Linked DNA regions of Drosophila melanogaster. The protein of the gene in region 1 interacts with the protein of each later gene in a pairwise test. Each region holds a gene or a part of one and is shown in the gene's direction. Other genes may lie near its edges.

Region 1 (4,866 bases):
TGATGGTGGCTAGGGTGCTGGTTTGTCTGTTGGTAATGGGTGGCATGTGGCTGGCTGTGGGCCACCTGGTGGTGCTGCTGGTTCGTCTGGTGGTGTGCAGATGGAGGTGCGGATGGCGGAGGGCCATGGCTCTTGTGGGACATGGACGACAACAGAGCCGCAGCCGTCGATGTCGACGTGGAATTGGTGGCTAGTGAAGACGTTACGCTGGTGGTGCTACTGGCCGAAGCGGTGGGGCCACCGCTTGTGCTGCTGGAGCTGCTGCTGTTTGTAAATCTGCTGCCAGTTTCACCGCGCCGCGTGTGGTTAGAGCCGACGACCATTCTGCACGACAGTCTGCAAGGATGAACAGCATTACAAGTATATTCAAAACGATGTGCACACTTTTTCACTCAAATACTAATACGATCTTAGATATACCAATTCCACCAAACCCAATCAACCCGGCAATTGTCAGCTGTTTTGGAATTTGAATCACTGACAGGTATAAGCTCTTTTATTACATCTGGCAACGCCGCTGTTGTCTGCGAACACGACAAAGAGCGAGATGGACATAAGCTTTCAGGACAAGACTAGGACAAAGGCAAACGTCCTGCACCCATACATACACACTCTCTCACAGGATTGGATGACTTGCAATAATCCTCAATCCGCAAACCATATGTTCCGGCATTTTGCCAATATATTCGCTCCGTTGAAAATGGCCCTAATTTAGTTTTTATTCCTACGGCTTCGCGTTTGAAAGAGAGAGAGAGAGACCGAGAAAGAGGGGGCTTGTAACTGATGTCGTCGACAGCCATCCCTCTCGCTCGCACTTATTCCAAGCCCTTTTAGCCCATGCACACACACGTTTAACAAAAATCAATTAACTTGAAAGCACATGTAAAAAAAAGTATTGATCCACAAAAAACAAAAGGCACTTCGGTAATCCTGGAATACACACACTTACTGCCGAAAATATTTAAAATGAATGGGTACGCGTATATATTTATATGCTGGTGAACAAAAGGCGAGCATAACAAAAATGTCTTATCGATTTGCATGCGCAGCAGACAGTAATTGCAAATCTTGTATTTTCTTGAGTCTGTGCAACAACTGAAATACCTTTCTGGGCATAAACTATCATAAACACAAGTGGGTGGTGCTGGGAAACATCGCTGGAATTGAATATTTGTTTGTTGGTCGATTTGTTCTGAATGGAAACGAATGTCGTTTGCAAATTGCTCTCTCAGCTGTTTACAAACGCATACCACATAACGCAGGTGAGAGAGAGAGGGAGGCATATGCGCAGTGAGAATGGAAGATGAAGGGTTGCCAAGTGCGCAAAGGCTTGCAAATTAAGTACACTTGTGTGCGGGGTAACCGAAAAACGGGTGTTTACAATAAATTTCGCTGGGTGGATGTAGCTTTGTAATTTGAGTTCGCCAATTTTTTTTGTTGTTAACAGCATTTCGAAGCGGTTGCCAACCCTAGACGCTGGCTGGTTGCATGGTAACGAAAAATGGCGGCGCCTGTTACACACACTCACACACACATGCACGCACAGTCTGCTGTGTTTATGCACTTCATGCTGTTCCGATTTTTTTTTTGCACTTTTTCGATTTGTTGTCTGCATTTACCTTAAATGAATTTATTAACTAAGGCGATATTGTGCCTCTCGCTCAATCTCGCAAAACGATGCTTTGTCTGCTGCTTCTCTGTGCGTGTGTCCGTCTCTTTCCACGGCTTTTCGTCGAGACTCACATATACAAACGGCGACACACTGGATTGGAGCTGGACTCCGTTTTGGATGGCTTGGCTTTGGCTGCGTACCCAAAATAAATCGCGCTTGCAGTCCCAAATCATTTTAGTTCTTGACGCCTTTGTTCCACAAAAACTTCCAACCGCCGTCCATGGCTCGTGCTTTCTCTTTCGCTCGCGAGACGCTCCAAAAGTCGCGAGTATGGGAAGAGAATGTATCCCTCGCTCTTTCACGCCTAGAAGCGGCTGTAGCACACACAAGCACACGTAAACCCAGCCGTATGCATATACATATATTCCCTCTACTAGCGAGACGTGTGTACGTGCGTATGTATGTATGCTTTTTTCACTTCTTTCTCCTCTGCGTTCTTTGCACCAAGTGTCGCTGTTGCTATTTGCTACCGCCGCTCCTCTTGACGAATAAGTCGGGACTTGTATCAGCTCTAATTCGGACTTAGTTTACAAAATGCGGCTGCTTTTTTTCCGCGATACTCGGATTAGTGATGTAAAAAGACGTTGATGCTTCGACCACTGAAGTCAGTGCGATATGTATCGATAATTGAATGCCATCGATTGCTACGATTAAAACTGCCACCGCAGTTAGCGGAGACGCTCACCATTCTCTATTCGCCATTTGAAAGTATCGGTGTAATTTGTTTTCAGAGAAATTAATTTCCGTTTACTGTGCAATTCGGTGTGAAAGTGTTCAGATTTATCAATGCGTATTCTGCTTTCGACTTCGCCACCAATCTGTGCTGCAAGTTACCATTACCAGGTCCACCTGGTTCCCGCCAGTTTTCTTTCATTGTGGCTAGTTGTTGTTCGTGCCTTCGATAAAGACGTTTAGAGGTGTTTTTAGAGTTTCGCCATCTGGTCACTATAGCCGTTTCGTTTTTTACGTGAGTATTGTGAATTTGGTGTGTTGATTTATATCTCAGTTGGAGCCTGCGTGGAAATAGTGTCAGTACGTTTAAAGGCATCATCGTAAGGTTAGTCGGAAAACAAATAAAAAGCCTACAAATAGCAAGCAAGAACGCTTTCGCAACCACAAGAAAAACGAACATACGCACGCATCCATCTGTGGTAGAGTCGGCTTGTGTGGGGGTGAGTGGATGTGTGGGTGAGCATTTCTGGAAAGTGCCGTTCTCTATGTTTCGATTCTACTTATCCCTTCATCACCATTTCATCGTTGAATCATCACGAAAGAAACATCGAAAGTGCACAATCGTTTGTTATCTTTGTACGAAAACAACGGTGATTTCCACACAGGCATAACCTGCAAGAGTAATACGATACAAATTTTGATCTGATATGACCTCATTTTAGTCGGTTTGAATTTTAAAGAGAGCGACTCTGCAAACTGCAGGGATATGAACATACAAAATTCACAAATGATTGTTTGCATCCTAGTTGCTTATATTCATTTACACGCATGCTTATATGCTTACATCTGTTATCAATAATTGACGACTTGGTGCATGCGAAGCAAACGCATTGAAATGACTATTGGGATCCACACACTGTTAAAAAACACACTGATTGCACTGCCACACATTTCTCAACTAGAACCTAATGTTTTATACTGAACTTAACTGCAGGAAAGCCCAAAATGCCCAGCATCAAGTTGCAATCTTCGGATGAGGAGATCTTTGACACGGATATCCAGATCGCCAAGTGCTCCGGCACTATCAAGACCATGCTGGAGGACTGCGGCATGGAGGACGATGAGAATGCCATTGTGCCGTTGCCCAATGTGAATTCGACGATTCTTCGCAAGGTGCTTACCTGGGCTCACTACCACAAGGACGACCCCCAGCCAACGGAGGATGATGAGAGCAAGGAGAAGCGCACAGACGACATTATCTCATGGGATGCAGATTTCCTAAAAGTCGACCAGGGCACACTGTTTGAGCTGATATTGGCAGCGAACTATCTGGACATTAAGGGCCTTCTGGAGCTCACCTGCAAGACTGTTGCAAACATGATTAAGGGAAAGACTCCCGAGGAAATACGCAAGACCTTCAACATTAAGAAGGACTTTTCGCCCGCCGAGGAGGAGCAGGTGCGCAAGGAGAACGAGTGGTGCGAGGAGAAGTAAAGCGCGGCATTTCGCGGGACCAACATTAAGTTGAAACAGCTAGGGGATTCGGGAACGAATTGGATTTGCAGCATTGCAACTTTACTTAGTTGCTACTTTCATTTACATTTTTTTTTATTTTTAACCCCAGCAGAGACTCGATTTAAATTGTGTATAAATGATCTGTTGCTGATTTGATTCGCGGGGTTCATTTTTTGTCGTAAATATATCTCATATACATACATATGCGAGATTGTAACACTCTCTTTAACCTATTGGAGTAACACTTGATTTCACTTTAATAAATATAACTACCCAACACAAAGACACAGCCTATTTTGTGGGCTTCCCGGAGGGGTTAGGGTCCAAGGACTTCTCAAATTAAGAAGTGCTCTTTATTCGTTATCTTGTGTTTAGAAACGTTTGCAAGCGTTTGAAATGGATACGCATGCCATTTATGGTCCAGTCGGTAAAATTTTACGTGTTCCCAAGAAGGTACATATATATCTTAGATTATCTTATCTATAGAAACTACATTCATAAGATCACGCTTTCGGCGAATAGCGAGTAATACTGTAGCTGCCACTTTGCCACTTAGTGTGCAATTGAAATGCGCGCCAACGCATGTTCTCATATGCGGAGCGTTTAGCAGCCCTTAAAAAGCTTTTCATGTTGCTTTTAAAAAGCTACGACGGGTGTGGAAATTAGATTTGTGACGCTTTATATATCTTTTTTTTATATCGTCTGGGGTACAGCATGGTTTTAGGATTTTAGAAGAAAGCAGTAATTTTGTAAGAATCGAAGAACGGGGGGATATTTATAATTTTCATATTAACCTTGTCTTTGTTTGCTTTTGAAATTATGAATACTTCGAAAGATAATTATCTTGTGCGCATTCCATTCTGGCTTAGACTGGGTTGAGCTAAAAATGATTTGAAATACAAATTTTTAGGTGTCCGCTGATATATAAACAGTATGATGTTTTTGCACTTTTTTCCCTGAAGTTTTCCTTGTTGTCTCGCTTGCCAATGCTGAACAAAGTAGCCAAA
Region 2 (5,077 bases), on another chromosome or scaffold:
CCTGGGGCAGAAGATGGCCATTGAGCTTATCAATGATATTGGGGTAGGTGTTTGACCCATCATCTTGTGTTTTTTGTGTAAAATTCGAAGTCCAACATTTTTCAGTGGCGTGGCCTGTGTGATCACTGTAATGTTGCCCGATGATGCCGTGGATGAGACCCTTGTGCTGTATCTAGTATCCAAAGCCTTGCTATCCGCCTCCTTCCTGATCATATACCCCTTTGCCGGGGAACTTTATCCCACTCAGGTTCGGGGTATCGGCATTGGTGCTTCCAGTTATATTGGAGGATTGGGTCTCATTGGCATACCTTTTATTACCTACTTGGGAAAGGACAATCTTAAACTGCCCTTGGTCATCATGGGCTTCCTTTCGATGCTGGGCGGCATGACGGGATTGCGGCTGCCGGAAACACTGCATCATCGCTTGCCGCAGACCATCGAGGAGGGCGAGGAGTTTGGCAAGAACTGGCAGTTCAAAGATTGCTGTAGATGCGCTCAAAAGCCGTGAGTTCAATGTGCATGTGGTGACCAAGGCGGGTATAAAACTAATTTAATATATATTGTGCTTACTTTTTGCAGAGAGATTTTATCTCAACCTGCGTCGTACGAGAACCTGGATGTCCTGGCTGGATCCTCCACCAATGCTTCTGAGGTGGAATTGGAGCTGCGGGACAGTCGACGGGTTCGGGAGCCGGCTCCCCGCATTGACGAGCGTACGCCCCTGGACACAACGGCCAGTGGAAGTGGGCGACCTGTTCATCGGCCCTCGATGAAGCGATTAGTGCGCCAAATGAGCGTCATGGACACCCAGAGGACGCATGATGGCACCATGCAGTTGACTCATTGGATCTAAGATTTGTAGCGACAAATCTAATGTATTGTCACATCTAGAAGAGATTTCTTAAAATTAATTAGATAAACTGCAAGGCTATTCTTTGTTTTCGCTAAAGTTTAAAATGATTGCATATAAACTATTTACTAATCTATTGCTTAACGCTAAGGGATATCTTTTTAAATATAGAACTATGGGCAGAGACTTCTTTAAAAACAAACATACAAATATAATTAATCATAAAAACTTACCATTTTTGCAGCACAATGTTAGCAATTGTCATTGTATGAAAAATAACGAAATTAATGTTTCAACAAGTTACTTAACATATAACAGCACTATTTAATTGCTTACTAATTTATTTATAATTTAAATAATAGTTCTCTAAGTAAACGCTTTTGATTCCGTGTTTTAGAAGTATTTGCTATGAGCAAATAGAGCAGCATACTTTAACTGCTTAAAATTAAATCTATAACAATTTCCTCCTTTAAATACCAGTTTTCTTTTCCTTTTCCATTACTTTTCCATTAATTATAGGGCATTGCCATTATGCCTAAGTTGTTTGCTTTTGTGAATTACAAAAGCTTTGTAAACAAAAACCGAAACTTAATTCTTCAAACATATCCGGTAAAAATAAATAAATAAATAAGTACGTGTAGCGTATATCGTATGGCGACTTCTCAATCACCGGTAATTGATTTATGCATTTATTCAGACAATTATGCAATTAATTGTTGTCAAACAAAAAGAAAACTTGCTCATGCGGTGAATAATAGAGGAATGCGCGAAATTGCCCCCACCTGTCGACCGTAAACTGCTGGCGGTCACTGTCAACCGTAGGAAGTGCCTGGACCCATGGGAATTCATAATGCTGGATCAGATCACAAATATGTTGACACCAAGGAGATCTTGCAAGCAAAAATGTAGTTTCTTAATATTGCTACTTAAGTTCAGTACGCAGTTCCAAATCCAAAGATTCGTTAAGATGGTCCTTTGTCCTAGTCTTTTTCCCTATAGATCTCTGGAGTATTTAGATTTGGATCTTGAATTACGGTATCAGGACTCTAATATTTACCCGGTTACACAAGGTCGAGCTTGATTTTCCCTTATTTCCTATCATAACATCTGGGCAGTGTCAAAAATGAATTAATCTAAATTTACGTACAAGCAAATAATCCAAAAAATGCCTAAGGCGAAAACGCATTCGAGATCAGTGAAGACTCCATTCCCAGTTCGCTCCAATCGCCCGGGTGGAGTCCAAAAAAGTGAGCCATCGCCATCGCCATCGCCATTATGCAGGACCAGTCTGCTTGATCTGCCGGAGGACATCATCCGACTGGTTCTCGAGTTTCTGCCCAGGATTACCGATAAGGTTCTGCTGGCCTGTGTGGCGCCCAAGTTCCGAGCGGCCTTCGAGGGCTGGGCGAGAGTGCAACGAAATGCTTTGGACATGGTTAGTCTGGAGACGGTGCCTCTGCCGCAATTGATCAGGTTCTTCAAGGTGGCGGGACCCTTCATCAGAGTCCTTCAAGTGGACTGTGCGTCCTACCAAAAGGAGTCCCTGCTGGTGGAGTTCGTAAAGGAATACTGCCCCAATCTGGAGGAGATTAGTTACTCGAACGCCACCGATGAGTTTCACTACCGATCGATTATGTCCAAAATGACGCACTTGAAACGGGTGACTATTGAGTGTTTGGATGCAGAGGATGTGCTCAACTTTGATATGCAGCCCAACCAGGAGCTGGAGTTTTTTGAACTGGTTAATGGTTGCTATACAGGTAGGTATGCACTGCACTCTATTTATGCGTTTGCGGGACTTTATTTTCGCAACAGGCCAAAATCTCTGCGGTTTTCCCAATCTCAAAACTTTGGTCCTTCGAGACTGTCTGCTATGGAACTCGATGGAGTTTGGAATTCCGCTTAAGTCGTTGCACACTTTGGATCTCGACGACTGTTGTTTCGAGGTTATGAATGTGAGCTTGTACCAGAAAATCGCCGAGAGCTGCACGAACTTGGTGGAACTGATCTTCTCCGGCTGCGACACCAACTTCGAGGTAATCGCCAACCTGCCCAAGCTGGAGCGCTGTACACTGAAAACCTGGATGACCTCCAACGAGCTGAATATTGGGTTCCTTACGGTTCTGGCAGAGAAACGAGGAAACAAGCTCACCCATCTGCACCTATCCGGTCAGTTCAATATCACCAATGAGCACGCCAGGTGCCTGGGACAGTTGAGTAGCCTCACGGATCTGCGGTTCAGCAACAACGATATCCTGGACGACGATCACTTCAAGTTCTTCAACGATCTCAGCCAGCTGGAGCGATTTGGTCTGACCGCGTGCGGTCGGGTGATGGACGTGGGGATGATGAGGATGTTGCGGAAGTGTCCCCAGTTGAAAGTTATTGATTTGACCGATTGCGAGCAGATCACCGAGGAGTTTGTGATCCAGGCCATTGGATTCTGCTCGAAGGGATCAGGTCGTGATGTGGTGCTCAATGTAAAGGGAACCATGATCAGGCGGCCTATATTGACGGTGGGAAAACCGGGGCGGGAGTTTCGAAAGCATATACTAACACTTTCATATTTTGCAGCATCCGGATTACGTGAATTCCTTGAATCGTCTAAAGGTTAATTTTATTTAAAACGACACCACTCGAATGGAAAATGGTAAGAAAATAAATGTCTATGAATTGTTGCAATAATTTGATCAAATTTTGTGTTGCCAAGGAATCATTTCTTATTGAACATCAAATATCAAGAGAGACACTGCCCAAAACCAATCAAATTTGATTTCTATTAATAAAAATCAGTTTAAAAGGAGTGCAAGTATTATTTTTGCCATAAGGAACCGTAGCTGTGATTTCTGGATTAGGGAATAGACGTGGTGGGCACTTCTTCCGTGAGTGGAACATTCGATGGCCTTGGAGCGCGGATAGCTAAGACAATGGGATCCTCACTGGATCGATGAGTCATGACCCCATGGCTGCCATAAGGAAGTGGACGATCGAAATTTATGATCATCACAATGCTCACAATGCTCCATTAGAACGCCGATAATTGCGGACAAACGTGTGTGGGTCGTGTCGCTGCACTTTGGGCCTTTGGCTGTAGTACGTCAAGCGGCTGGCTAACAAGCCAAACGAATGGAAACCGAAATCGAACAATACGCGATATTCGATACAGTTCTGAATCCGCGATTCAATTCGATCCAAGCGATCGATCGCCGGCAATAAATTTCGCATTCAATTGCTGCTCTATTGGAACTGAACTTTGTTGCTTTGTTGGCCGATGATGTCTGTGTTAGCAGCAGGAAGCTAAGTGACCGCGTCCAGTTGATTACACTTGGAAAAATAGAAAACATTTTGTTTAATTATAGAACTAATGTATCTTGCAGGACTCTTATAATACATATGTCCAGTTGGGTTCAATTAAATCTTTTAACCAGTCATTCTTCACAGGTTTTTTGTGTGATTTGGTATGACACCTTTTCTCTAGAATTATTTGCAGTGCAGATCGTAGAGCGAACTCACCTGTGGCCACTCCACTACTCCACTGGTTAGTCATCTATACGTTTTGATTGTTTTTTGCGTGTGCTATTTGTTTTACACTGACCTCGAGTGGCTCCTTAAATGGCTGTCGGCGGCTGCAATCGCCGCGACTCTCCGATCGACGGTGCTAGAAGGGGTTAGCAGGGGGTTAGCAGTGGGTTAGCAGGGGTTCTGGTGGCCAGGGGCACCCCGGCGAATGCCTTGACATGTTCAGGTGTCCGCCATGCTCGGCTATCTGACTAATTAGTGTACTTTAACTGGACCAGCAGAGCAGGCAGCTTGCTGACATTTGGCCACAAGTTGCGGTGGCATCTTCGGCTCATCCGGAGGAGCAGGGTTTGCATGAGTGGGGCACATTAAGCAGGGATAATTTGGCGTACCCTGCCCCTTTGCAGTATCGTATCTGGCAGATACTACTACTATATACTCGAAGCGTGTCCAATCACGCCTGTGAATTATTTAAAAATCTCGCTGGGCTGTCGTATTTCATAAGAGAGACAAGCCTTAAAATTGTTACCCTGATGCCATAGAAATTCGTGTTGTTTGTTGCTCGGTGACTTTGTTGTTGTTCCTAATGTTGCTGTTGTTGTTGTTGTTCGGGGGGGGGGTTGTTGTGGTGGCTTGCGATTATGGGAAATGGCTTTTGCTATCGCTTAGCACACCTCTCGATGGATGAACTTTTGGTATCGCCCAACG
Region 3 (8,527 bases), on another chromosome or scaffold:
ACTCGAGTGTGCGTTCCCTGTTGCTGATAAGCCAACTGGTTCCGACTGCTCGCTGTGGTAGCCACTGCCTGATCGATAAGCTTTAGCCCCGGGTCGCTGTCAAAAGCGCAATTATGAAATATTATTGAACAACCGTAAGTAATTAGAGGCAAAATTTAGCTAATAGCTTGTAATTAAGTTCAATTAAAATTAAAGTCTTAAGCGCGTTTTAAATTCCTAAACAACATTTTTAGTTTGACTAAAATCTTAAAAAATTGTAAATAATCTAGAATCTAGATGATATCCTTAAAAAACACAATTTGAAATTATTAATAAACTTTCTACACTAACATCCACTAGCAGGATCGCCAGCCAAAGGCCAAGGAGCCACTTGGCCATCATTTTACGTTTCCGCTTTATAAGTATTTGAATTTAAATATTTCTTAAAATGCACCGATGCTGATAGCAACTACACAATTGTTTTTCTCGCGCTTTAAATTCTTCGTTGTGATCCCGTTCGAATTCCAGGCTCGACTGACCCACACCCAGATCGCATTTCAATTCAATTGGACTCGGGATGAATCTCTATCTCTGCCGCCGCTGATAGATGCTCTCGTTTGTCGCCAAACCAATTGAGTGGACCACACTATCAGGGCTTGTAATCTCAAGACCTTTTTGCTGTCTTATCGCCTTGTTTTGTTTGCATTTCTTTTGGGGTTTTTCACTCATTTATTTACTTCTATGAATCTGAGATGTTGGAGCTTAAGAATGATGATGATGAATTACAGTGGCGCAGTCGCATTTAAACAAACTAAACGTCATACCCAAATTAGACTAGGTGATTATGACTAAGAGACTAGATCATTTGGCTGCCGGCTTATCAGCCGGCGCCCTCTCGGCAAGTCTTAGCCTCTGCTGTATTTTTAGCCAGAGCAGATCGTACGGCTCACTGAGTTCCGTTTGTGTTTTGGGAATTCCCACAGATCGTCGCACTTCCGGCGAGAGGATGAGCAGATTTTGAGCAAGGCCAAAACTGCTGGAAGCTACCCAGTATACACATAAAGCTGAAGGCACTGTACAGGCTACTGGAACCATCACAACACTCAATCCACGGAACACATTGTTGGCGATGTTCTGCAAGCGTGTAGAAGGACGAGTTCTAGACATGGCTTGCACTTCAATGATGGCCAAATTGATAAGACCTAATGCTACAGGCAGGATATAAGAGTTATCCACCACCGTAAGGTTTGGTATCCAACCAAATCCGCCAATGGTCATTTCGGTGGTCACGATTTGAGCTTGAATGGACGTGGGATCCGGCAGCATGTACACTAAATTGCGCAGAGCCACGGATTGAAAGATCCACAGGGGAATCTGACCCCATAGCACAATCATGGTCTTCATGGGATGGCAGTTATCCCGAACTATAAGGTTCTGCCACTGCTTCTTGATCTGTAAGATAATTGACATGACGAAGAGTGTCTCGCAAACATTTGAATTTTAACAAACCGAACGCCGATAAACAATCTGAGTCTGCTTTTCGCTCCACTTGAACTTGTGCTTGGCCATGGCTGCCTCTTTTTTCAGTTCCTCCACAATGGCCGGCATCTCCAGCGCTATCTTTTCAATTCTGGCGGTGATTTTGTGCTGGTAAATGGTCAGAGGCAGGGTGACCACGCTCCGAAAAAGGAAAGTGGACAGCACGATGGACGCCCACCAGGGCAGGCCACTGTAGTCGTGGATCTTAATGAGAACATCCTGCATATAGGCCACCGGCGTGCTGTTGGACAAGGTCTGCCAATATCCCACCAATCCACCGGCATTTGCCAGTTGGACACTCGCGGCCGCCGCTTCTGTAGACGACAGACGATGATTGCATGTGTGATTCGCAATAGTTGTTCCTTGGTATGTGTATTTGTAGATGCCAGCAATTGATGAACTTCTACAGGTGCGTAAAAGAAGCAAAGCTGACATTTTTAATTAATATAAAACTAATAATCAACGTAAACAACTATATAGAATCAGCAGTGCGAGTTGTTATCATTGTGAACAGCTGATTGTTACCATAACACGGCTTCAATCAGTGTGGCCGTAGCTAGGCATTGTAGTTGCATTAACCCTTAACTTACGATGCTTTTTTTGCTATCCGAAATTAGGAAACATTGAAATGCAGTTATTAATTTGAAATCATTTAATCGTTGATAAGAGAACAATAACAAAATTTATACAGTCATTTTATACGACAGCAACACTTTTATTTCCTTTGCATTTTTACTCACTTTGAAATTTCTAAATTAATAATTATCTCGGCTTACTTAAAATGGCTAGACCTAATTTAAGTGCATAAATTGTTTTTTAATTGACGTTTAATTTCATACGTATATGCTTAAGATAAAATTGTGCTTGTATTCATATTTGTTTTCTTGGTCTTGGCATATTTGCGACCTCGTGCGACGGTCACTCTAATTTGGCATTTTAAATTGTGCAGCGTACTCGGCTGCACTTGCAACTTTTCATTGTTTGAAACGCAATTAACATTTAAATCGAGTAATGAATTTTAGCCAACGCCAACCAGAATGGCACAGAATACCATCGGTGGCACTAAATCACATATTCGACTATCTAAATCCCCAGGATCGTCGGTCGGCAGCGGGTGTATGTTTTTCTTGGAGACATGCCTTATTTCAAAAACGGTAAGTTTGTCACTGTGTGGGTGTGTCCGTATCCGTGTGGGTGTAGGTATTTGTGTATGTGGCTGAAATGTTTAATTTCAGTACTTATTGGGTATATTTCCTTTGTTATTGCCCCTTACATTATATAGCCGTGGGTTAATCAAGCGCAAAAAAACATCTGTGCAAGCAAGAACGAATCGTAGACCCCAAAACTTGTTCGACATTTATATGTTGTACTCTTCGCATTTGGCAAGCTTTCAATGTGTGGGGGCAAGCACCTAGGTCCGTTTGTTTATATTAGTGTTGAAAAAAGGGGAAAGTCCACGATAAGAGGAATTCCCCTGCCAATAAATGCAATTAATTAAATTAATTGATGCGATAAGCTGTGAGCTGTAAATTGCGATCTTAGCGATTGCGAGAAAGATACTTATTTTTCTTACCTTTTCTATGCTGATTCATTTATTGTATTTATAGTAATTTTCCTATGTTATTTAAATTAATTATATTGGTCTTTTGGACTAACAAATAGAAAAGAAATAAGCCCAATTTTGTAATTTAGTATTTACATCTATATATAATTAATCATTACCTATTTTTCACCCCTCAGCTATTTTAGAAACTTTCGCTTTCAATTGGATGTGGGATGCGATGATCAGTTGGCCTTCTTCCATCGCTCCATGGCCAACTTGGCCATGGAACTGATAGTAGTCTTCGACTTTCAAAATGCAGTTCACATCCAGAAAATGCGAGGACTTCTATACAAGTAAGTTTGCTTTAGAAAACCCAATGAGGACTCAACCTAACCATTTTCCATCCCACAGAGTGGCGCACTGTGATAACATCCAGAAATTGCGTTTCCAAACCCACAATGTCGGCCTTGTTGCCATCGGAAACATGCATAGCGAGCACTTGTTGGCCATCGAACAGTATGTACCATTAGAAATAAATAAAAAGTTCAATAGTTAGATATCCTGACAATCCCAACAGATGCTTTGTGGAGCCGTTGATTCTGTTTTTAAGCCGCAAGCGTCAGCCCTGCCAGCTTCTGGACCTTGGAGCCATCGAGGCCCTCTCATACTATGGCCATGATTTTCTAAAGGCTATGGGAAAACCACAGGAACTGCTGCAGCTGACACTCGCGAGCATCAAGTACGATCCTAGTCACTATCCCATCCTCTCGTTGGACTCGACCCTGCTGCAGAAATGCGCCGCCCTGCAGGTGCTCTCCCTCGACTACGACACACTTTCTGACGAACTGCTGCACACTATCCAGGTGCTTCCGCTGCGGAAACTTTTGATCGCAGTGCACGGCCTGGATAGCGAAGAGCATCCCGATGTGTCGGAGACGGCCTGGTCCAACTTTTCGGATCACTTTTCGAGCATTGAGTTGGTGCTGACCCTTGTGTATGCCTATGAGGCCATCGCACTACTGCAGCATCGTGTGCTGCGTAGCAATATGCCTGTAACCCATGTGCGACTGCTATTCTGCGAAAAGATGAACGCCGAAGCCTTGGACTGGATGTCGTTGCATTACAGGGAAACTCTGCGCAGCATTCACTATGTGGACGCGCCGTACAAATATTCCAATCGCATGAACTCCAGTCGCCGTGTCTCTTTACTCCAGGATCCATTCGTAATGATGGCCTGGCGCTGCAAACAGCTGGAGGAGATCGTAGTGCACGGGTACTTGATGGATCCGCATAACCTCGTGGGCATTGCCCGTCTTCGGGGTCGGCAGCTAAAGCGTCTGGAAGTCTCCATGATCGATTGGTCAGGCGCTCCTTTGCTGAACGCCTACAATGAAGTGAGTTCTTTAAAACGTCCTGTAACTAAACGAGTAACTTAATTGATTATCCTTCAGGAGATAAGCACCTTACTGGGACAACAATGGTCACCCATCAGCTTTGACAAAATGCCGCCATCGTTGTTCTACGACAACGATTTACGCGATCAGTTCGTGTACGAAATGCTGCGCCAGGATCTCCGCCAGTAAGTGGTCGAAATAGGAAACTACTCAAATATAACCAAAAATTGAAGCAGTCATCAAGTGAACGAAAGAAATGAAAACATGACACGTGATCAACTCGAGCGCATAGAAATTAATTTATAAATTGCAAAACCTAATTACGTAGCTAAACAAAAAACCCAAAAGAATAATGTAAGCAAAAAGAAAATTTAATCGTCATAATCGTCACCAAACCTTTTGATTGGCGAGCATTTCATAGATGTTAAATTTTCCTAATTTCTTAGCCTTTGTAATCAAAATCGCGATTAGCCCTTGTTTATTAGTACAAAAGCGACAGATCAAGAGCGACAGGAATGTTAGGAGCAAAGCAAAAGACTTGAGCACTTCACAAATTTATGTAATTATGTAACGGGGCGAGATGAGTTTGTTGAAACCTGCTAGAGAAACATCATTTTATAAGCAACAACAACTGTGATTCAAGCGAATGCAGCAGATGCAAATGCAAGCCAGTGTGAAAGCAAATGCTATACCCAGCTCTCATACAAAGAATAACAAAAACGACAACAGCAAGTTGTTAAGCGAATTGTCTAGTTAGCTAAGTTTAAAGTAACAAAAAGTGTTGAAAATGTTTGTAAAACCAAAACTACGACCAATGTCAAATTGTTTGCTCAAAACGACGCAATTGGCACAAATTGTTAACCTTTGTAGTAGTGTGAATAAGTACAGAATCTGGCGCTCAATTGTGATAAACCAACAAACAACAACATAAGCAAATGTAACAACAACGAGAGCTAGATCCTCGTTCGCTAAGCGCCGCCATTTGTGTAGTTTAAAGTGATATTACCAGCAACAGCAAAGCAAAATGTAAGCAAATACAAAACACCACACAGATATATATGTATTGTATGTAATAGCCAAATGGAGCTAAGGAAATAGCTGTCGTGCGTGTGGTGCATGCGTTGTGGCCAGATAAACGGGCCAAAAAGCCAGGCAATTATAAGACCCAAATCCAACTCTTAAGTATTTTGTAGCACAGGCATTAATTATACAACTATGTACTATATTTAACCTATGTTTGCACAAAACAGCAGCGTGTTGTTACGAGCCGCGGCTCATCCTCCGCAGACATGCTTGCCGACCAACAAGTACAACAGCAACAATGACAACATCAACAGCAACAACAACAAAAATGGTACCTGAAGATCATGCCGAGCATTTAGAGAACAACCGAACAACAACCGCAAAGTACTTGCTCAAATGTAACAATCTAAACAAACACAAAATCTATTGAAACAGAAGACTGAACGATAAAGATGGTGTTGACCTTGTTGTCAGAGCAAAACGGAGGATGGCAATTGGTTTCTGGGACAAGTAACAACCGCAAACAAAATGCGATCTCACAGATAACTCCTACAACTATCCAATCGACCATCTATATTTGTATGTATGAATGTATCTATATGTAACCAATGCATGTAATCATTTTTTATGAACTGCAATAGCAAATATTATTTTTTGTAAAACGAGTTCAATTCATGTGTAAAGCGCGAAGCAAACTAAGAATGTTTGTCAAACAGCAACCGCAACACGGCCACAGAAAAGTCAAATCAAGAACAGAGTCTTGGGTCATAAAGAGATTGCAAATCGACGGCCTACATTATGTAACCAGACCTGTTTGTATGTGGCTGTGCATTTAATTTAAGTCTAGTACGTACCAAACACAACAACCAACACCAACAACAAATGTGATAAAAGTGTCATGCTGCTTCCACGAACAACATAATGTGCAAAATAAGACCTAAGATACTGCACTATTGAAGCAATGAGAACGGTAGTAAGCATTGGAAAGACAGGGCCAGATTAATGGGGGATATAGGTTATATGGGCTCTATTTTATAGCTCCCTGATACACCAGTTTCTATAGTATTATTTTCCAAATTAACCGCCTAATTGAATAGCTACAATTGAATTCGAAGTTGCCTTCAAAAAGTACTCACAGCGCGTTATTAAATTAATAAGAAAAAGAGTAAACTCCTAATATTGTTTATCGAGGAGTTCGATTTGTAAAAAGTTAAAGGAAAGTGCTATTAGCCAAAATAATGTGTCATAAAGCTATAAAATAGAGCTAGGACTGTAAAAGATCGTTAGCTCAATATCCAGCCCGAACTAATTGTCAATCAATGGATTCATTCAATTACAATCAACGTAAATGAAACAAGTATTAAGTTTTTCTGTTATACTAGTGTCACTTCCAACGCTGCTGTATATGAGTAACGTTCTTTTGGTATACTTACTACAAAACAAATATATTTTATATGCCATTTATTGTATTTAAATTCGATGAGAGCGAAAAGAATTTTGTAAACCATTCCACAACCACAACAAACCAATGCGATTTATGCTAACGTATGTACTGATCCAGTAGCAACACTACAGAAGGAGGAAAAAAGACCAACCAAGTTTAAGATAATTGTTGATCGAGAATAACAACAAGTCAGGGTGTTAATATATGTATGTATGTAGGGTATGCTCGATGTCGACATTCAGGGGAACAACAAGTGTGACATGGGCGAGGAGGGTAGAAAATCCGAAAGACGATATGTATGACAGCCGTGCATTAACAGCAATGTTTATATATATGTATATGCAAGTTATGCTTAAAAGTTATAAGAGCAAAAGTGAAGAAAGCTGTGATACAACAAGATCCAACAAAAAGGGCAAACGACAACCGACAACACACAAAGATAACACCAACACATTAAACTACAAAAACAACAGACAAGCCAATTCGAAACGTGTGCGACCAACAAAAGTATGTTAACAACCTTTCCGGAACTAAGAACCAGTATAAGTACCGACCGGACCATCTGAAATGAAATGGCCAACGAGAAGAATTCAAAATGAACTATAGGAGATCGGATCAGATCCAGTAGTAGCTAGCTTAGCGGGTTAACGAAGGACGAACGCGGGGGAACCAAAGTTTTGAACCGAAGTGTTTGAGTGAATCAACAGCGTGCGGAATTAGATTGATATTCCAGTCAGGATGAAAAGTGAAGATGAGAATGATTCAAATGTTAAATTATATATCGATATGTAGTAAAATAATACACATACAAAATGCACATAGCTTAAAATATATGAAAGCAAGCGTTTTATTCAAAGTCAATTTCCATTTGATTTGCAATGATTATGTTTTGTGCAAGATTTTAAAGCTTAATCAACCGAGGCCAACAGCAGTTTGTGTGGCATATGCAATATCATTACAATGTAAGACAACCAAGATATATAAACCAATTAAAGCGTAGCAAACAAAATGCATTCAATTGAAAAACCAATAAAAAATGTTTGAAACTTAAATCAAAATTGTGCTCCTAATTATTTACGGAAGGGGCTCGAAAGTTATCCTTTTCAAGTGCTTTAATCTTTATTTTCGTTGCATACTTCATGGGTTGTGTTATACAATATTTAGTGCTGTAGGCCGAAGGTAGCCGATTAAAAGTACATAATTCGTGATAATAAAAACTTTTTGTCAACAAAAACAGAACACCCACACTCGCAGGAACTTCCGCTGAGCAACGCAAGCGCTCCAGGATGTTTTCGAGCTTTTCTCAGTCCTTGAACTTTTGACCTTGTTTCTGGTCGCCTTTCTCGCTGCCGCGGTTATGTAAGCAGCTGTACGTATCATTATGCAACCTGGTCCACGGGATTCACGGACTCTGTGCGCTTGCCATTGCATCTTTGCCGTTGCAGTGGCTCTCAAACTGCAGAGTCTTCGGCGAGCGATAAGACCCCAATCATCATCACCCAGGCCAATTAAGTGGGCTTTGCAAAATAGATAGCGCTGTTGAATGAATGACTGAACAGTACGCTCGAGTTTATTATCTGGATTTATTTGCCCACGACAGACAAC
Region 4 (4,605 bases), on another chromosome or scaffold:
TTGCTGGAGCTGCCTTCTTGGGCGCCTCTTCCTCCGAGGAGCTGTCATCGCTGGAAGCTGCCTTCTTGGCAGGAATTGCCTTAGCTGGCGTAGCCTTTGCTGGAGCTACCTTCTTAGGAGCATCGTCTTCCGAAGAACTATCCTCAGTGGAACTGTCGGCCTTTTTGGTGGGAGCAGCCTTAGAAATGGGCTTTGCGAGAGTTGCTGCCTTTTTGGGTGCCTCGTCTTCAGAGGAACTATCATCACTAGAGGAAGCCCCCTTCTTAGCAGGAGCCAACTTGGCAGCAGATTTAGCAGCGGGTTTGACCTCCTCCTCTGAGCTGCTGTCTTCGGAACTAGAAGCGGCTGCCTTAGGAGCTGGCTTTGCGGCAGGCTGGACGGCAGGCTTCTTGGCGGCTGGCTCGTCATCGGAGTCGCTTTCCTCGCTGGAGGATGCTGCTTTCTTTGCCGGTGCAGCCTTGGCTACAGGCTTGGCAGCTGGCTTAGTCTCCTCATCGGAGCTGCTTTCTTCGCTGCTGGAGTCGGCCTTCTTGGCGGGAGCAACCTTAGTCGTTGTGGCCTTGACGGCGGGCTTTGCCGGTTCTTCCTCGGAACTGCTATCCTCGCTGCTGGACTCAACCTTCTTCGCGGGAGCCGCCTTGGCCGGAGGTGCCTTCACTGGAGCAGCTTTTTTGGGTGCTTCTTCCTCCGAGGAACTGTCCTCGCTGGAGGATTTTGCCTTCTTGCCGACAGCCTTGGCCGGCGTGGCCTTTGCTGCTGGCTTCTTCTCCTCCTCTGAATCGCTGTCCTCGCTGGTTGAAGAAGCTGCCTTTTTGACAGCCTTGCCGTTTGTTAGTGCAGGAGCTGTCGCTGGCTTCTTAGGCGCCGCATCAGACTCAGAGTCTGAGTCGCTGTCTTCGCTGGAGTCTCCGGCTGTCGCCTTGATTGCTGGGATCTTTTTGGGGCTTTTGGTCTGGTAGAACTGAAGGATTTCACTCAACTTTGGGCTGCTTTTGGCGACACTGGCCTGCAAGTTAGAAAAAGGCAGAAATTCTTGGTTATCTGGACGAAGCACGTGGCACTTGCAGCAAGTGGCAGGTGGACAGCTCGATGAGCCATCGGCGGACAGCAAGGCCCTCGGATTCTAGATCAGGAGGACGCAGATACCACATGTTTCGGGTGCATCCAAACCGCACATATTGCACTTGCCGCTCTGCACTGAAACTTACCGCCTTCGTCTTCTGCTGGAAAACCTTGGCTAGGTTCTTGTCCTTGGACTGCAAGTACTCCAGGACGATTGCATCGGCTATCTTTAGCAGGTCTGTCATGATTAATTCAACTATTCGTCAATATTTTCCGTCCGCAAATAATTACTAGCCGCTTGTCCCACAAAAAAGAATGCGCACTCACACGTGTTTTCTACTTATCAGTGGTATGGCAGCACTACGCGGCTGCCAACGGTGTGGCCACCCCTGCACCCCGTTTCTCAACACTGTCAATGCAGCGGGTATTCTTCCCAAGAATAACTCGAAAATGCCAATCAATTGTAATCATTTATTTATGCCACACCGACAAAGATCTTGAAATTAGAAATAACGCTAGGCTACGTTAGACAAAACTAAAATTACAAATTTATTGTTATATATGTCTATGTATATATATATATGTATATATATATATGTATATGTATATATGTAGACATATATAACAATAAATTTGTAATTTTAGTTTTGTATATATATATATATATATATATATATATATATATACATAGACATATATAACAATAAATTTGTATTGTTAAATTTGTTATATATATATATGTCTATATGTCTATGTATATATATATAAATTACTAAACTGTATTATTAAATTGTATTCAAACAATTAGCGTATATATAACATAATGTAAGGAACCTACGTTTTTTGCGTGAGGTATTCAGACCATCCACGACTGGTCACATTGGGGGAGCACCAAAATGTATTTTTGTTTGTTATTCAATTGAGTTGACCTGCTTGAAACGATCCAGAATACAGAAACTATCTCTCGCTCCGGCTATTTTAACAGACTCTGTACCTAGATTGTGTCGCGAGGATCGCATCCCGGGCCATGGCTTCCGAGCCGAGATCCCTAATTCTGCAATTGGACGACGACTGTCTGGCCGAGATTTTCGATCGCTTGCAGGACCTGCCGTCGGAAGTGTCCTTCGCGAGGACTTGCCGGCGAGTGCAGTACATATGTCTGAGCAAGTGGCGCACCAGCCATGCCTACGAGCAACTGGATCTGGAGAAGTGGCGGGTACTGTTGCCCAATCATGAAGACCTGGTCTACTTCCTAACCCAAATGCGTCCGTACATCAGAGAAATGGGCGGCAGCAGCTGTCTGTGCTCCATTCTAAAAGATCTGGACGAAATGCACATTGCAGAGCTGCCCATGGTGACCAGCTTCTACTACGACCCAGACGGCGTCGATTGCTATCCCACGAACCGAAGCATCCGCAAGCTGGCCCGCCTGCTGCCGGGCTTGAAAAAGTTGCGCCTTACCACACCCATCGACGGGCGGTACCTATCCAACTTCCAGCACCTGCAGGAGCTGCACCTCTACGAGGACCAGCACAAGGCGTTTGAGCTGCAGCAGAAGTACCTGGACGAGGTGTGCCGGTAAGTAGTAACCTTCTGCTGCATAATATTTCGCAACTCATTTTCCGTTTGCGCCACAGCACGCTGCACGATCTTCGGGTCCTGGACATTAGGACGTACGATATGATCAGTAAACTTCAGCTGGGAAACTGCCTGCAGAGCTTTAAGAACCTCACTGATCTTAAGCTCAATCTGGCCACCTTGAAACCCATTCTACCCGCCGTTCTGGAGCTGCCCTCCCTCAGGAAACTGGTGGTGCTGCTGGACAACGAGTGGCATATCCCCCCGCTGGTCAGTCCGGATAGCTATGACCACAAGATCCGCGAGGTCAGCGAGTTCTACGAGATCATGGCTTTCAAGGCCAAGGACATCGTCGGCTTTGCCGTGGACGGGTACTATATGCCCCTTGAACCGGGCTGGGATGAGAAGCTGCCCATCTGGACGCATCGCAGGCTGAAGCGCCTGGCCATTTGCAGCTGGACTCATTCGGCAGACTACCTAAAGCGCTATACCTGTATGACAGAGCTGCAGCTGCTCTGCGTGCGCAACTGGAATGACCTAAGCGACGAAATCCTCTTAGAATTCGTGGAACTCTGTCCACGATTGGAACACCTCGACGTGTCCTACTGCCGAAATCTGACGCCAACATTTTTGCCACGGGCCTTGAGTATTCTTAAGCGGCGGGAGCCGTTCAAGCAGAAGACGGGAGTTGGACGTTCGCCACCTCTGAAGCTCTACTACGACCTAAGTGGCTTTGAGGACTTTGTGGATAGAGCGGTTACTATTTCTTGTTTATGTCGCTCTTCTTTTATCTAATCAATCAATCCATTGCAGAACCTAAAGAGCTCTTTGGAATATAGAGGATATATTGTCTTCACCGCCGACTTTCCAGTCGACTCGGAACGCGGTCTGAGCTTTGTGGACCGCGGATACCAATTTGAATTTCACTGACCTCAAAATATGTAAATATACAAGCGTAGATTCATACAATAATTTATTATTAAAATTTATGTTGCACAAAGTACGCCAAATTGGATTATTATTTCAAAGTTTTGAGTGCTCCATGCGGACTTCCGTGTTGTTTTCTAAGGCTGTCCTTCACGTAGTGACAAAGAGCACCGTAGTTAAATTATTTAAATAAATTTGTTTTAATAAAATAAATATGAAAATGAGCTGACGATAACGTGCAACATTTTTACCTTTGTTCCCTGGGAATCATTTATAGCTATGAAATAGCTAGCTGAATACCCCTGATAATATGTATATTGCTACTGCCAGGTATAATAACTGTAAGATATAATTTGTAGTTTGGAAGTCAACTTGTTGTTTCCCCAAAAACTATAATGCAATCGATAGTGTAACTCCCGCTCCTATGGATATCTAATCTGCAGGCAAAAATTATTAAATTTGACATTTCAAGCTGAAAAACGTTTTTGAATTCAGAGCATAAGAAAACAGTGCTGTACATATCAGGCAGATCCTGAGGAACAATGATACGATAGGTGAAAACTCGGACAGCGATTGTGAGTACGGATTCCTTAATGTCCTTCACCTAGCTAAACCGAGTCCAGTTTCCAGTTACCATAGAAGACTGCAAAGCGGTTTCAAGCGGAGACATACTCGAGTTCCCTGGGGAGAACTCCAATGAACACGCGGCTTCTTCGTATAGTAAGCCGGAACTGACTGGCCCGCTGAGGAGCCCAGCCGGAAGGTTAAGCCCCCGTACCGTCAGACTTTTCCAAGAGGAAAAGCTACGCCTGGTCAGAGCACACCGACATTTTTATGAACAGGAAAACATCCGCGCTCAGGAGAAGCACGTGGAGGAAATGGAAACCCTATGTGCGAAGCGGGAGCTCCTCTTCTTGGAAATCGCTGAAAACAAAAGAAAACTTAATGTACACTTTTAGATGCATTTTCGTTGGCTAAATTACGTGTTTAATGGGACTTCCTGAGGGATTCATGAGTTAAAGTTTGTAGTGTTAAAAA

Evidence for each region.
Region 2: the proteins of SkpA (region 1) and CG9316 interact in a two-hybrid assay, tested with the Drosophila melanogaster proteins (2 studies listed by BioGRID).
Region 3: the proteins of SkpA (region 1) and CG4911 interact in a two-hybrid assay, tested with the Drosophila melanogaster proteins (2 studies listed by BioGRID).
Region 4: the proteins of SkpA (region 1) and CG7148 interact in a two-hybrid assay, tested with the Drosophila melanogaster proteins (2 studies listed by BioGRID).

What each region holds. Positions count from the first base shown.
Region 1 is NC_004354.4:653,761-658,626, forward strand, and holds SkpA (SKP1-related A), read left to right. Parts: upstream 1-2,353; 5' UTR 2,354-3,024; exon of another isoform or gene 3,025-3,338; 5' UTR 3,339-3,349; coding exon 3,350-3,838; 3' UTR 3,839-4,139; downstream 4,140-4,866. Other genes in the region: Hmt4-20 (histone methyltransferase 4-20), read right to left, coding at 1-323.
Region 2 is NT_033779.5:20,723,395-20,728,471, reverse strand, and holds CG9316 (uncharacterized protein), read left to right. Parts: upstream 1-1,920; 5' UTR 1,921-2,015; coding exon 2,016-2,610; intron 2,611-2,665; coding exon 2,666-3,366; intron 3,367-3,424; coding exon 3,425-3,475; 3' UTR 3,476-3,500; intron 3,501-3,560; 3' UTR 3,561-4,263; downstream 4,264-5,077. Other genes in the region: CarT (carcinine transporter), read left to right, coding at 1-43, 106-504, 580-853.
Region 3 is NT_037436.4:9,066,633-9,075,159, reverse strand, and holds CG4911 (uncharacterized protein), read left to right. Parts: upstream 1-2,428; 5' UTR 2,429-2,529; coding exon 2,530-2,672; intron 2,673-3,258; coding exon 3,259-3,414; intron 3,415-3,472; coding exon 3,473-3,577; intron 3,578-3,638; coding exon 3,639-4,455; intron 4,456-4,512; coding exon 4,513-4,644; 3' UTR 4,645-7,965; downstream 7,966-8,527. Other genes in the region: teq (tequila), read right to left, coding at 1-96, 331-381; CG4942 (uncharacterized protein), read right to left, coding at 841-1,431, 1,489-1,953.
Region 4 is NT_037436.4:21,829,581-21,834,185, reverse strand, and holds CG7148 (uncharacterized protein), read left to right. Parts: upstream 1-1,932; 5' UTR 1,933-2,089; coding exon 2,090-2,640; intron 2,641-2,699; coding exon 2,700-3,396; intron 3,397-3,453; coding exon 3,454-3,570; 3' UTR 3,571-3,642; downstream 3,643-4,605. Other genes in the region: Nopp140, read right to left, coding at 1-1,006, 1,209-1,307.